Rhinolophus ferrumequinum: one gene and its partner. The protein of the gene in region 2 purifies or fractionates together with the protein of the main gene of each other region. This does not show direct contact. Links are inferred from orthologs where the notes say so. Each region holds a gene or a part of one and is shown on either strand. Other genes may lie near its edges.

Evidence for each region.
Region 1: the proteins of USP18 (region 2) and STAT2 purify together in Homo sapiens (affinity purification with western blotting; 6 studies listed by BioGRID and IntAct, with this or other methods). This does not show direct contact. The link is inferred for Rhinolophus ferrumequinum from reciprocal best matches to the Homo sapiens genes USP18 and STAT2.

The regions. Positions count from the first base shown.
Region 1 is NC_046293.1:55,665,971-55,673,905, forward strand, and holds the start of STAT2 (signal transducer and activator of transcription 2), read right to left. Parts: upstream 3,014-7,935; 5' UTR 2,844-3,013; intron 1,155-2,843; 5' UTR 1,142-1,154; coding exon 1,011-1,141; intron 845-1,010; coding exon 691-844; intron 373-690; coding exon 277-372; intron 104-276; coding exon 11-103; intron 1-10. Other genes in the region: APOF (apolipoprotein F), read right to left, coding at 3,708-4,649. UniProt on the Homo sapiens protein: Signal transducer and activator of transcription that mediates signaling by type I interferons (IFN-alpha and IFN-beta).
Region 2 is NC_046293.1:91,640,764-91,647,818, reverse strand, and holds the start of USP18 (ubl carboxyl-terminal hydrolase 18), read right to left. Parts: upstream 3,017-7,055; 5' UTR 2,919-3,016; coding exon of another isoform or gene 2,915-2,918; 5' UTR 2,816-2,914; coding exon 2,758-2,815; intron 1,721-2,757; coding exon 1,624-1,720; intron 644-1,623; coding exon 498-643; intron 1-497. UniProt on the Homo sapiens protein: Interferon-induced ISG15-specific protease that plays a crucial role for maintaining a proper balance of ISG15-conjugated proteins in cells. Regulates protein ISGylation by efficiently cleaving ISG15 conjugates linked via isopeptide bonds.

The DNA.
Region 1 (7,935 bases), about 36 Mb from region 2:
ATCTACCAACCTCCATCATAGCCCTTAATTCCAGAATCCGGGATTCAATCTCATGCTGCTGCTGGCTCTCCACAGGTGCTTCAAGAGCTGGCTCGCCTTGCTCCTGAAATAAGAGGCTCTGAGTACATTCAACTCTGACCTTGCATCCCTGAAATCCAGGCCTGAAATTAAACCACAGGCTATGGGGGATCTTATTCTGAGATAAATTTCCTGAGTTCTTTCCATGGTCCGTCTCTACTCCACGAACTTTCAGTATCACCACCAAATTGTTCTCACCAACTGAGCTCTCTGAGCCTGGATCAGAATTCTTTTCTCTTCCAGAAGGAGGTTAAAGATCATCGCAGCCAATTGGGTGGGGCCCTGGGGAAAGGCCTGCAGTAGGAAAAGAGAAAGAATTGATTGAACTCACCTGCCTTCAATGAACCTTCCCACCAGTGACCCCAGTACTTTCCCCTCTTTCAGGGTCCCTAGCTCGTCCCCTTTTCACCACAGGTCCCCAGATTCTAGCCTCTTCCCATCTAAACACTGCCCTTCTCTCTGCCAGTGATCCTTCAAGTCCAAACTCTGTCCCCCTTTCCCCTGATCTGCCCCTGTCCCTTTGCACCTCTAGGTCCTATCCCATACCCTAAACTGTATTCCGCTACACTCAGCTCCTATTCCTACTTTGTTATACCCAGCTCCTCCAAATACCTGAATGTCCCGATAGAATTTTCGCAAGTTGTGCTGTAGCAACAAGCACTCAGGGTCCTGGCTGCAGCGGCCACACTCATAGCTCAGTTGATCCAAGAAGTGGAAGAATAGCATGTTAGCCTTGGAATCATCGTTGCCCATTGCAGCTTCCTGCCTGGGGAACAGGAATGACCAAGATTAGTATCTCTGCAGGGTTGCTATTGTCTTGAGGCCTCCCAACCCCTTCAGGCCCTTGGTGTCTCCAGGATCCGGGGGCTCTGAAGAATGAAACCACTTTCCTCACCTCCCTCACCACACTCCCAACTTTCTGAGGGCCTCACCAGTTCTGATCTTCAATCCATACAGCCAAGTACTGTCGAATATCCACTGGCAGGAGGCTATTTGTGTAGAGCTGGTGCAGAAGATCTTGAAATGGGCTGTCGAGATTCTGCAGCTTCTCCCATTGTGCCATTTGGGTTCCGAGTCTGAAGGATTCAGGTTCCCAATTGGAAATTTGACTGGACTAAATCATCCACAGTCTTATGATTGTTTATTATTAAAATTGAACATTTTAAAATTATACAGGTAAGAAAAGATACAGAAAAAAAAGGGGGTGTCTAGATTGATCCCACTCCCAATCCTGGTCTCTTCCCCTCCTCTCCAGAAGTAACCAAAATTATTAGTTTGGTATATATTCGTCCAGGGTGTACTATTTAAGAGCTCCAATATGTGGGTCTTTTTGTTTTAATTGTAATTTCTAAACATACACCAAAGTAGAGTGAATAGTACAAGAATCATCCATGTACTCATTATTAATCTTCAACAAACATTAATGATATTTCTATCATTTTTATTTCATCTATCTCTCCCAATAAATTTGCTTGTGTTTGTATTCGTTTATGTTGGAGCATTTAAAAGCCAGTGTGAGTCATTAAGTATTTATTTCAGCATCATCCTTGCTGGCCCCAAAGCTTTATTGGGGACTTAGGTACACCCTATAAACTGCTCTCCATGTAGGAAGGAGAAGCTGTATTCTAGGAGATGTTTAAATGCTGTGCAAGGAGTCACTCAATCCCTAAGGTTGTGACACTGTTATAACCTCTGTTGATCTCTGATTCTGCTCATGGATTATCAACTTTGCAAGAGACCCAGGAATTTCACTCAAAACTGTTTTTTCCTGTCACCAAGTAGGCTGGGCAGAGAATCCTTCTCCCTACCTTGCCCCGCCCACTGCCATCTATCTATTTAGGAAACGAAAACTTATTCTTGTTGCAGCCTGGGCCTAACGGAAAAGAATAAACAGTACATCTGTGGTCTAAAAAAAGTCACATGATTTTATTAGAAATCAAAGAAAAATGTTTGGGATGAGAGAGGTTCTTTTCCAAAAGTATGAATAATTATGAGCTGCCTGCCTTTCTATCCCTGGTAAGTAGGAACAGGGGAAGGAAAGGATTGGGCAGGGGCTCTTATTTTTCAATTTAACCCTTTGAGTAGCGCTTGATTTTTATAACTATGTACCTGTATTGCTTTTTTTAAAAAATGACGAGGCCCTAGTTCTTAAGGAACTAGTGGGCTGGTATTAAAAGAGTAAGGCAGCAAGTAAACCCTGAGTTTTAAATGTAAAAACAAACAAACAACGAAAGAAACAAATCTGGTCTTAAATGGACTGCAAACACTTGAGGTTAAGGCTCAACACGTTCCTCTCCAGTTATCCTCACTCTCTTAGGCACATACTATTTTGTGTTCGAAAAGCTGTTCTGAAATACACTTCATGTTGGATGTGACCTTAAGCAAATAGTTTCACCTTTCTGCGTCTTATGCTTTTTAACATAACAAATAAAGATAATAAACTGTACCTACCCTTAGACATTGATTATTTTTGTGTTTATGAAGATCAACAATTACACAGACTAGAGGGTAAATGGCTAAGACACTGAATCAATGTAACAATGCCAAGTTCCGAGTCCAGGGAGTTCTGGGAGGAGGGCATTAGGATTGGGGAGCTAGGCTGGAGTGGAGGGGGGGTTGATCCAGGATGCAGCAGGCGACCGCTATTTCATCCGGGGGATACAGGTTGACCACCACGGGGCGTAGCCCCCGGGGTCTGCCACCCTTCCCAGGGAGGAACTCGCGCCTCCATCCCCAACCCCCGCGCGCCCTCTCAGGGCCAGTACCTGGTTGTTAGGGTCTCAGTCCTCGATCCCTCCAGTGGCTCCGCTCTAGGCTTCGGTTCCCCAGACGGAGCTACCGCAACAGCGTCTCCCGCCCCGCCCTGGGCTTCGTCCCGCCCCTCGGGCCCGCCCCCTTGCCGCGGGCTTCAGTGGGTTCCTGAACCTCTGAGGTCGCCCTTCCCAGCCCCGCACCCCTACACTGGCTCTTCAGGCTGTGAGCTCATTGGTGCCGCCACAACGCCTGCCTCTCCGCGGGGCGGACAAGCAGAGCGGAAGCCACAGCTCCAGCTCCAGCGATTGGTGGGACAGCTCAAGTAAGCCCCTCCTGCGCGCTAACTGCGGAGGGGGGAGTCCAATTCATGGAATAGCTCAGGACTCGAACAGCTGATTTCCGAGAACCCGCTCTACAGCCGCGGAACCGAGACTAGATCGGGACCGTGGAAGCACTTAGGGCTCCTTCAGAAGAGGTGGGACCGGAATTTCGAAACTTTGGGATAGGAAGGGGAAGGCTGATGTAATACCAAAATAAAAACTGTTTATTGATGGTACTGTGCTAAGTAAGCACGTTAGGTTCATTGCATCGTTTATGATTTCCACAAACCACACTGAGGTGAAACTCATTATCTCCACTTTAGAAATTTTAAAAACTGAGCCTGGAGAAAGAAGTTAAGTTACTAGTCAGTGATCACTGAGGCTTTAACAAGTGGAGCTTGGATTCAAACCAAACCCTCTGACTCCAAACCCCAAACTTCAAAATTCCTGCATTTTACAGCACTGCCTTCTATAACAAATCAGATATTTAGACTCTGAACACACACATATAGCCTGTCAGAATATTTGATTTATTCATTCAGTGTTTCACACCTTTTATATACCAAAATTCCCATTCCCAGGATCTATGTTATAGTTCTTGAAGACGGGCCACCCCCAATAAGGAGTTGAATCTACTACTTCTGACACCAAAGGGGCAATGGCAGTTGTTTCTGCCATGTCACTCATATTTGAGGTGCTGTCCAAGCCTTCCTCGCTGGTCTCTGGAGGGATGTTTGCTTCTTTCTCCTGGTAATAGTGGATCAACTGTTGAACCCCAGCCTTCACTGCAGGTTTAAGGGCAGTGCTGACCACTACTCCCACGGGCCCCCCTGACATTCCAGCCATGGTCATCAGAAGGTCATAACCTATATCTATGGCCCCATCTTGGCCTCGTTGCTTGGCCTCTTCCAAGCAGTTCTGAGCAGCATAATACAAAGCTGTGCCCAGGTTGTAGAAGGTGCCCACTCCTGGCAACCACTGGACTATATTGTGCACACTCTGCTCCTGCTCATTTTTGCAGTCCTCGATGGGGAGGGAGCGTCGGGCCCTCTCTGGGCCTTGCTGCTCCTTGGCCAACAGCTGCAAAGCAGAGGCCAGGGCATCCACTGACACTCCCCTCCCTGTGCTTCTGCCTTTCTCCAGCTCTTGAAGATGTCGGAAGAGGATCTGTGTGGCATTTACACCCCCCAGGCGGTAAAGCTGAAGCTGCAGGGCCTGTACATCAGCATGGCAGCCAGCTTCCTTCAGTGCAATCATCAGTGGCAGGCCTATCAGGAACTTGGGTAGACGGGCCATGTGCGTATAGCCAGGCAGGGATTTTGGGACTAGGATCTGGCAGGAAAAGGGGTCTGAGGAAGGTGGCCAGGATTCCAAGGATGAAGGAAGGTGCATCAGGATATTTGTCTGGTTTCCATATGAAATGGCATCCACAGTGTGCAGCAGGAAGTAGCAAAGAAGCAGCTCAGCTGGTATCATGATGTGTCTGAGGACACCCATGTCTGGACCAGAGTACGCTGAAAAGGGGGAAAACCAGAAACATCCATTAGGGATGTAGTCTGAAAGGAGCCCAGGACTCAGGGCACACCTCATCCATCACCTTTAGGCTTCTGCTCTTTTCAGGTAAAGGCCTAAGGGACAGGAAATGCAACCCAGTTGTTCCCACTGGCCTTCTCCATCTTCAGGTTACCTGGGACTTCCCCTGCTGTATTTCCACCCATTTATAGGGGGTCCCAAATTGCTACACAGTCCAGTCATTGAGAAGTGAGACTGCGTTGATAGGTTTGGTAGCTGCTCAATCCCGTGCTCCCCACTTCTCTGTCCTATAGGGGAAAGATATTTGTTTTCCACAATGATCTGTAAGAGATGTAATCTCTGCAAATATTTGTCCGTTTGTATTGGCTGCTCAGACCTTGTCCCCTTGTCACACACTTGACCTCAAAACCTAAGATCTTGTTCTTTGGCATTTCCCACAGGTCCTGCCAAGTGCTCACTCTAGCTCATGAGAGGATCTGAGAAACTCAAAAAGAGAAGAGATTAGATGTTTATTATTTGCTCTTTTTAAATTTCTCTTTTCAGTTTAAATTAGCAAGATATAGCGTCTTGTTGGGGTTTTAATACAAGGTAGATGAATGAGAAAAGGTTAAAATACCGCTCATGCTTAGAACATATTACATGTGCAGTATATGATAACTGAAAGAAAGAAAAGGGAAAATGGAATAAGAAACGGGGACTGAGAACTACTAAGTGGAAAGGGGCAAGGCTAATACCAGTTGCATGCGTGTCTTAGCACTGGGATGAAATACAGAACATGCTTTTGACCTAAGTGGCCTCCAACATTTCTAACTACTTCCCATATTCCCATTCTTGATCATAGTCCTGGGAAAGGAGACTTGTTGCCTAGGTGGCATTGAATATCTAAAGTGAACCTGGATAAATTCCTGAATCAATTTCCCCATAAAGAACCTCAGATAAGTGTGGAACATTTGATAAATTATATTGTCATCATCCACAGAAACTGAGACGCTCTTAACTTGGGTTTTCTTTAGCTTTTTGCCTAACTCAATATGTTCCCAAGTGTAGTCACACAGCACCTAGCCAACTGTCCCCCCATGTCTTTCCTTAAGGAAAGAAGAGTCTGTGAGACTGTGCCTTTCTGGGACTCTGTTCCATCCTTGTGTTTACACCTTATGTCTCTCTGTCTGGTCCCCAAAAGATGGTTTGCAGCCAAAGACGGGTAAGATATCTCATGGGAGATACAACCTAAGCCAGGCGGAACCGAGTGGGGACCCCTAATGAGCTGCCTTAGAGAAATATGGAAAGGGGCCTTGCCTCCCCTTCCCCCTGCCTGGGAAAGTCTGTTGCCCGCTCTGGCTTTTCCCTTGCACCTGTTTGTAAGAGAAATCATGAAGACAATAAAGATCAGTTCTCTCCACTTATCTCAACTGAGCTGTTACAATGAGAGACTTGACCCTGAAAAGGTACATACCTTAGGTAGGACATCATGGGACCTTGTGCTTCGGCTGTTTATAGACAAAGGGTGATTGGAATAAACATTTTTCTGCTATGATGTATGAGTCTCACAGACCGTGTAAGAAACAATGTTACTTTCTTGTATTTGTATACCTATCAATAAAAGCCTTCAGTCAGCCTTATTCTGGGATCCAGTTCTCTGAGACTGAGAGACCCCTGGCCTTCTGAGAAATTTACCTGCATTAATTCTCTGCTTGTTTCTTAGAAACTTAACCCAAACCTCCCCTTCTCACACCCTCACTGCCCTTGTTGCTCTGGACGTGACACCCAAGACTCATATCTGAAGTTCTAGGGGATGTTGACAGTAAAAGCTTTGAATTGTTTCACCAGCAACACGGCTTCTCAGCAAATTCAATTACCATCTGCGCTAATTGCTAGATCAGCCACCCCCGTGGTCGTATTCACCGCCATCAATATACATTCCTCAGGGTGAGGAACTGAGTGTTGGATTTATCCAAGCTCCCCTGCAGGTCCTCCCAGATCCCTCAGAATGACCTTAGTATTGCCTCTAGAGCACCTCAAAAGAGGTGACAATTGAGCTGACTCGTGAAGGTAAAGGCTCCTCATGAAGACAGGCAGGGTGTTATGTGTGTGTGTGTTTATGTGGTTGGAGCCTTCCAATAGAGGTACTGACATGATTGACCATTTAGAGGCATGAAAAAGCCTGATTTTGGAGGATAGAAAGTAGTCCAAGATGAGGATGATGACGATGTAAGGTAGGTGTGTGGGTGGGGTGGCCGTAAGGCTGCAAAGACTGGCCGAGGTCAGGCACACCACGCAGAGGCTCTGGACTCTGTCCTACAAACAGTGGGGAACCATCAAGTGCTCTGGACAGGGGAGTGATATAATCAAAACTATATTTTAGAAAGATAACTCAGGGGACAGCTTGGGTGGACTTAAGAGAAGGAGAGATTGGAGAAAGACTAGCAGGGCAGCTGCTGCAGGAGTGTCAGTCAGTGATAACAAGGAAATTGCAGTGAGGCGATCTAGAGTAGTCAAATTCATTGAAACAGAAAGTTACCAGGAGCTGAGGGGAGGAGGAAATAGAGAGTTGTTTAACGGGTATAGAGTTTTAGTTTTGCAAGATGAAACATTTCTTGAAATGGGTTGCACAACGTGAATATGCTTAACACTACTGAACTGTACACTCTGAAAAGGTTAAGATGGTAAATTTTATGTTACATGTTGTTGTTTACCACAATTAAAAAACTAAACTACAAAAAGGAAGTAAATGTTTTTTTTTATGTATGAGTTGTTTTTTTAGAATGAAAAAGAAAAAAAATTTCAGATTGAGTGGACTCAGAGTATACCAGAAAATAGATGAAAAACCACCCCCGTATTTAATGTATTAGTCTGCCAGAGTTGTCGTAACAAAATCCCACAGAATGGGTCATTTAAGCAACAGGAATTTTTCTCAGTCAGGAGACCAGAAGTCCAAAATCAAGATGTTGTTGGCAGGTTTGGTTAGTTCTGAGACCTCTCTCCTCGCCTTGCAGGCTGCCTTCTCGCTATACCCTCACCTGGCCTTCCCCTGTACATATGCACTCCTAGGGGCTCTTCTACTTCTTGTAGGACACCAGTTCCATTAGGGTCCCACTTTTATGACCTTATTTAACCCTAATTACCTCCTTAAAGGCCCTCTCTCCAAATACAGTCACAGTGGGGGTTAGGGCTTCAACCCATGAATTTTGAGGGGTACACAATTCATTCCATAACACCTCGTGACATTATCATGTAATACCAAGAATAAAAC
Region 2 (7,055 bases):
TGTCACTGACCTGCACTCTGTGAATATACTAAAACCCTCTGAATTGTACATTTTTAAGTGGGTCAATTTTATGGTTATGTGATGTAGATCTCAATAAAACAGGTTTTTTTAAACTAACTAATTTTCTTATGCAGAATATGGTTTCTCCTTATTAATCCTTTATTCTGTTTTCCTGGAATTCTTTATCTGTAGCTGAATTAGCTCTGAGGACTCTTAGGCTTACTTATTCTGAGAGACAGAAAAACAGTGAGTGTGAAAATAACATATGCATAAATAATACCAATTCTGTGCCTGTAAAAATGTAGGCTTTTAAAAATATTTCAGATCTACATAAATGCTTCTCATATAAGGGGTCCACAGTCTACCTAACGTCCTTGTTCACTCATGACATTAATCCCTCCCCTGGCCCTCTCCTCTCACCTTCCTCCCCCCTCTTCCAACCTCCCACCTCCTTAAGAGAACTGGATCAGGAGCCAGCGCTAGGAGGACTGTCTTACATGGTACATCGTACTTCTGGAGACAGGAGACAAGCTCCATGGGTCGCACTGCTTTCTGCCGGCTGTCCTGCATCTTCTCCAGCAGCAAGAGCAGCTGGAAGGGGACACTTCTCCTCTGCTCTTCTACTCCCCTTGGCACTGTTATCCTGCCAAATAAGAACAACCACGAACCTCCTTATTCTTCTCAATGTTAAGTGCATACGGGAATCAACTCGAGGGAACTTTCAAAATCTCCATGTGCAGGCCACTCTTCACACTAAATCAGAATTTCTGAGGGTGGGACAGAATTTTTAAGTTTCCTGGATGATTTAACTGCACGGACAAGGTGGAGAAACACCATATAAGCAAATCAGCTACAGAGAGAACCCTGCTGAGAGGGGGTCAGCACAACCGCTGCCTCGCCTCTCTCCCCACCCTGCCCGACAGTCACACTAAAATGAAGAGCAGATGCAGTAGGTCCTGGGCCCACAGCAAAGTGGCCAAGCAGCACCATGCCCACTCTGAAGCTCTCCAAAATGAAAAAGCAGCACTCATCCAGGTCTTGGGAACAAAGGGGAACAGGGAGGGATGTCAGTGCCTTTTGGCAATGATTTATTTAATTACAGGCATCTTTCAATTGCCCATGCCAGTGGAAGGGAAAAAACAGAAAGCACAGGGCAGAAAAGAATGTATGATAAAATACATACATGCACACACACACCAGTGATTTTTAAGTGTGTGCGTGGGTGTGGGTGTGTGTGTTTTGTTTGAGAAAAATCAATAGACTCATGCACCTACACACTGGTTTACTCCTCCTTTGACATTGGTCTAGTCCCAACTTCCTTTTAATCAAATCAGTGGCTGTCAATCCTGACTGCAGTTTTCAATCACTTCGGGCATCTTTTAAAAAATACCAATGCCTGGAGCGCACCCTAAACCAACTGAAACCAAATATCTGGGTGTAGGACCAGGCAATTTTTAAAACTTCTTAGATGATTAGAATGTGTAGTCCAGATTGTGTAGACAGGACTTTTCTCTGGCAACTTTTGAAAGAACTGTGACTAACTGAACCAAGTCACTGTGACTAACTGAACATTCAAAAATGTAAAGTAATATACATGTTTACTAGCCTGCATGATAGTCTTACCTCTTCAGTATCTGGGTGAAGCCCACATTCATAATGAATACCTGGATTAGGGAGTTAAGGCAGCAGGTCTGTCCAATGTTGTGTAAACCAACTGGGCCTATAAAGGAAGAGAAAAAAACACTGAGGGAAGGCCGAGCTAAGGGATTTAACAAAAATCATGTTTTTGTAGCCTCTACAAAGGACATGAAACCCTGTAAAGTACTCTCAGACGTACAAAGAATTCACTAAGGAGCTTGCAACAAATTCAGGAGGAGACATAAAGCATGAACCTTTGAAAAGTGAAATAGCAACACAAGTTTTAGTAGTCCATTAGGCAAAGAGATGTCACAAGAAATTGCGTTACTCATTGTTAAATGAATAGTACAAGCAATTGTTTTAAGAACAAAGGAAAAGAGGAACATTACAGAAAGTGGAACTGGGAGAATTACGAGTTCCTTAGAGACTGCAGTCAGAATGGGCAACTAAGGGCTCAGGGGTAAAAGGAATTTCAGACTCCAGTGCAGTGGAAAGTCCCTACTCAGTTCCTACCATACGGCTGGAGAAATCAAACGAAAGCTTTAGGGAAGATCCACTAATCTAAACTCGCCTTGAGAGGCTGTAAGCCAGAAGGAACTTATGACGAGGTGAGAAAACCAAAGGATAGCATCTCTCTGACCCATTAGCAACCAACCTCTCCTTTTCCAACCCAGACTTAGCTCTGCAGACCCCATGAGGTGAGTTATTTAAGTGGAGGAGGGGGAAGATTAACACTAATCTTAGGGTTCCTGGGAAAAGGTTTTGGTGTACAAGAGATAGGGTAATAAGAAGGTGCAAATCCAGGTATGGCAGGTAATCACAGATTTCCACTTGCCTCTAGATATACTAGCACACAGATATAACAACAAAAAAAGAAACTAATGCTGAGTGCTACTATATGCCGAACACTGGTTTAAAGCAGTTCCCACAGATTATCTCATATATTCTTCCCAACAATCCTATGTGCTCAGTACTATGATTATTCCCATTTAAAGGAGACGAAATGGAGACACAAAGATCAGGAGTCATTAGCCACAAAGCTCTACAGCTTCAGAGTATAGTGGGTGAGCAAAACGTCTCCACACAGTCAAGGAGAGAAGGTGGGAGGGAGGTAACGACCCTGAGAGCGGTCCCAAGCTGCGAGGCGCTCTGGGAGCTGACTCCTCTTCTTCTTCATGTTGCTGTTTTCTTCCTTCTTCTCAACAGGGTCTGTGGAGAACGGCTGAGACTCAGTCAGGACTGACTAGCAAATTTTCTCAGGAACCCAAACACTTGCCCATTAGGGATCACTCCAAAATTTCCAGACAGTTGGCTGACCAGTCTTCAGGACTGCAGATCCCACTTCCGGGAAGAGCTCTCATGAGACAGCCTTGGTAGGACTTCTGTGAAAACACACCATAGGCAGTTAAGCATAAGAGAAGGAGAACAAGTATTCGTGTGATCAGTTCTACTTCCAAACAGCCAAGTCTGTGAGGGAGATGAATGCTTGGAGAGACTGACTCAAAAAGCTCTGGGGCTAGAAAAGAGAACTAGGCTAGACACCCCCTCTCCTTCGTCCCACATGCCTCCATTTTTATTTTATCAGAGTAGTCTGCCATATCTTCTTCCCTCCAAGTTCTCTGTTCTAGTAAATGGCACAGCATTCACCAATAGGTTCAGACCAGAAGCCTAGTGTGTCCTTGCTCCCAGACCCAAACAACCATTGAAGGCTGTTAAATTCTACTGCCTAAAGGCTGCTCACAAGAACTTTCCTTGCTATGCATGCCCTAACTTCCTGGTGGAAACAAATAACATAAATGGAGCCACTTTAAAATGGAGTCAGTGCTGCAACCCCAGAGGAACTGCTTTGCATGTTTTAAGCGTCAAAACTTTGGAATGTTAAAACTGGGCAAAATAACCTTCAGACTGGGCCTAAAGCAACATTGTATCTCAAAGAACTATTGGCAAAGAAACAAGAAAGCAGATATTACAACTAACCGACTGCCGGACTGCCGATTACCTGGACTACAAATTAAAAACATAGTTTAAATTTAGCCCCACTGTGTTAGCTTAAACGCACCAATAGAAATGTCCTCCTTCTCCCATTAATATCAACGAATAGATCATTCAGGCCAAAAATGAACAAGGAAACAATGGCCTTAAATGATAATTAGACTAGATGGATTTAATTAATATTATTAGAGCACTTCACTCCAAAGCAGCAGAATATACTTTCTTTTCAAGCACACATGGAACACCTTCCAGGATAGACCACATATTAAGCTACAAAACAAGTTTCAATAAATTTAAAAAGACTGAAATCATATCAAGCATCTTCTCCCACTACAATGGTATGAAATCAAAAATCAATTACAAGAAAAAAACTGAAAAACACACAAACACATGGAGGCTAAGTATCATTCTGCTAAAAAAATGAATGGGTTAACGATGAGATAAAGGAAGAAATCACAAAATACTTTGAGAAAATGACCCAAAATTGACGGGGTACAACCAAAGCAGTTCTAAGAAGGAAATTCATAGCAATACAGCCCTACTCCAAAAAACAAGACAAATTTCAAGTAAATAATCTAACCTAACACATAAAGAAACTAGTAAAAAAACAACAAACAAGCCCAAAGTGAGTAGAACTAAAGGTATAATGAAGATGAGAGTGGCAATAAATGAAATAGAGCCTAAACAAAAATACAAAAGATCAATGAAAACAAGAGCTGGTTCTTTGAAAAGATAAACAAAATTGATAAACCTTTAACCAGACTTATGAAGAAAAAAAAGAGAGAGCATGCAAATAAATAAAATCTGAAATGAAAGAAGTGACAACTGACCACATAAAAATGCAAAAGATTATAAGAAAATACTATAAACAATTATATGCCATCAAATTGACAATCTGGAAGAAATGGATAAAATCCTACAAGAAAAGAATCTTCCAAGATGAGTAAAGAAAAACAGAAAATCTGAACAGACTGATAACCAAAAACAAAATCAAATCAGTAGTCAAAAAACTCCCAACAAGCAAATGTCCTGGACCAGATGGCTTCAAAGTAAATTTTACCAATCATTCAAAGAAGAACTAACACCTATCCTCCTCAAACTATTCCAAAAAATTCAAGAGAGGGGAAGGCTCCTAAGCTCATTGTATGAAGCCAGCATTATCCTGGTTCCAAAACCAGACAAAGACACTACAAAAAAAGAAAATTATAGGCCAATATCCCTGATGAACATAGACGCAAAAATCCTCAACAAAATATCAATAAACCAAATTCAACAATACATTAAAAAGATCATACACCATGATCAAGCGGGATTTATTCCCAGGATGCAAGGTTGATTTGATATCTGTACATCAATTAACGTGATATACGACATAAACACAATGAAGGATAAAAAATTACATGATCATATCAGTAGATACAGAAAAGGCATTTGACAAAATCTAGTATACATTTACGATTAAAAAATCTCAGCCGGAAGCCTTAGGCACTGAGACTAGCCGCCCCCTCCCTACCCTCCCAGAGCTCACCCCGCCCCCACCTACCCGGTGCTAGAAGTGGAACGGTAGCAGTAGTCAGATCAAAAGAACAGAACATTTGCTGTTCTGAGAACTGTGGACCGCAGACACAGATTCACAGGCAGTCTCCAAGGCACATTGTATTCACAGGCCTTCTCCAAGGCACATTGTATTGAAGCTGTCTAAAATCAACGACAAATAAAGAATCCTCAAGGTGGCCAGGGAAAAGAAGACGGTAACCTACAAAGGAAAGCCCAGTAGACTATCATCAGATGTTTCAGCAGACACTTTACAAGCCAGGAGGGAGTGCAATCAAATATTCAAACTATTGAAAGAGAGAAATTATAAGCCAAGAATAATAAATCCAGCAAAGATATCCTTTAGATATGAAAAAGGAATAAAGACCTTTCCAGACATACAGAAGCTGAGGGAATTTTCTAATACACAACCTGCACTACAAGAAATACTAAAGGAGGCTATTCGACCACCATCAACAGGGACAATTTGTGGCAACCAAAACATAAAAAGGGGGAGAGTAAAGGCCTGAACTGGAACATGGCAATGGAGAAAGTAAGTGTGCTGAAGAAAATGGAATACTCTAAATATCAAACTTTCTGTTACATAAACTTAAGGGTAACCACTGAAAAAAAATCCGAAACTGAAATATATACTGTAATAAAAGAAGAAACAGAGGGAAACATCATAGAATACCACCACACAGAAATAATAGACAACAACAAAAAAGCAAAGAAACCATGGAGACACAGCCTTACCAGAAAACTAAAGATAGAATGACAGGAAATCCTCACATATCAATAATCACCCTAAATGTAAATGGACTGAACTCACCAATAAAAAGGCACAGAGTAGCAGACTGGATCAAAAAACTAAACCCAACCATATGCTGTCTCCAAGAGACGCATCTCAGCTACAAGGACAACCATAGACTCAAAGTGAAAGGGTGGAAATTGACACTCCAAGCAAATGGTACCCAGAGAAATTCAGGTGTAGCCATAATGATATCAGATGAAACAGACTTCAGGGTGAAAAAAATAACAAGAGACAAAGATGGACAGTACATAATGGTAAAGGGGACTATACAACAAGAAGACATAACAGTCATCAATATTTATGCCCCCAATCAGGGAGCACCAAAATATACCAAGCAACTACTAACAGAACTAAAGGGAGAAATTGACCAAAACACAATTATACTAGGGGACCTAAATACATCACTGACAGCTATGGATAGATCATCCAAACAGAAAATAAATAACCAAATAGCAGCCCTAAATGACACATTAGATGAAATGGACATAATTGACATATATAGAGCACTTCATCCTAAAACATCAGACTATACATTCTTTTCTGGTGTGCATGGAACATTCTTAAGGATAGACCATATATTGGGACATAAAATCAGCCTCAGCAAATAAAAGAAGATTGAAATCATACCAAGCATATTCTCTGATCACAAGGCTTTGAAATTGGATATCAATTGCAAAAAGAAAGCAGGAAAAAACACAAATACGTGGCGATTAAACAACATACATTTAAAGAACGACTGTGTCAAAGAAGAAATTAGAGGAGAGATCAAAAGATACATAGAAACAAATGACAATGAAAAGACATCCTACCCAAATTTTTGGGATGCAGCAAAAGCAGTTTTAAGAGGGAAATTTATATCATTACAGGCCTATCACAAGAAACAAGAAAAATCACAAATAAATAACCCATGTTACACCTTAAAGAACTAGAAAAAGAAGAACGAGTGAAACCCAAGGTCAGCAGAAGAAAGGAAATAACAAAAATCAGAGCAGAACTAAATGAAATAGAGAACAAAAAGACAATAGAAAAAAATTAATGTGACAAAGAGCTAGTTCTTTGAAAAGATTAACAAAATTGA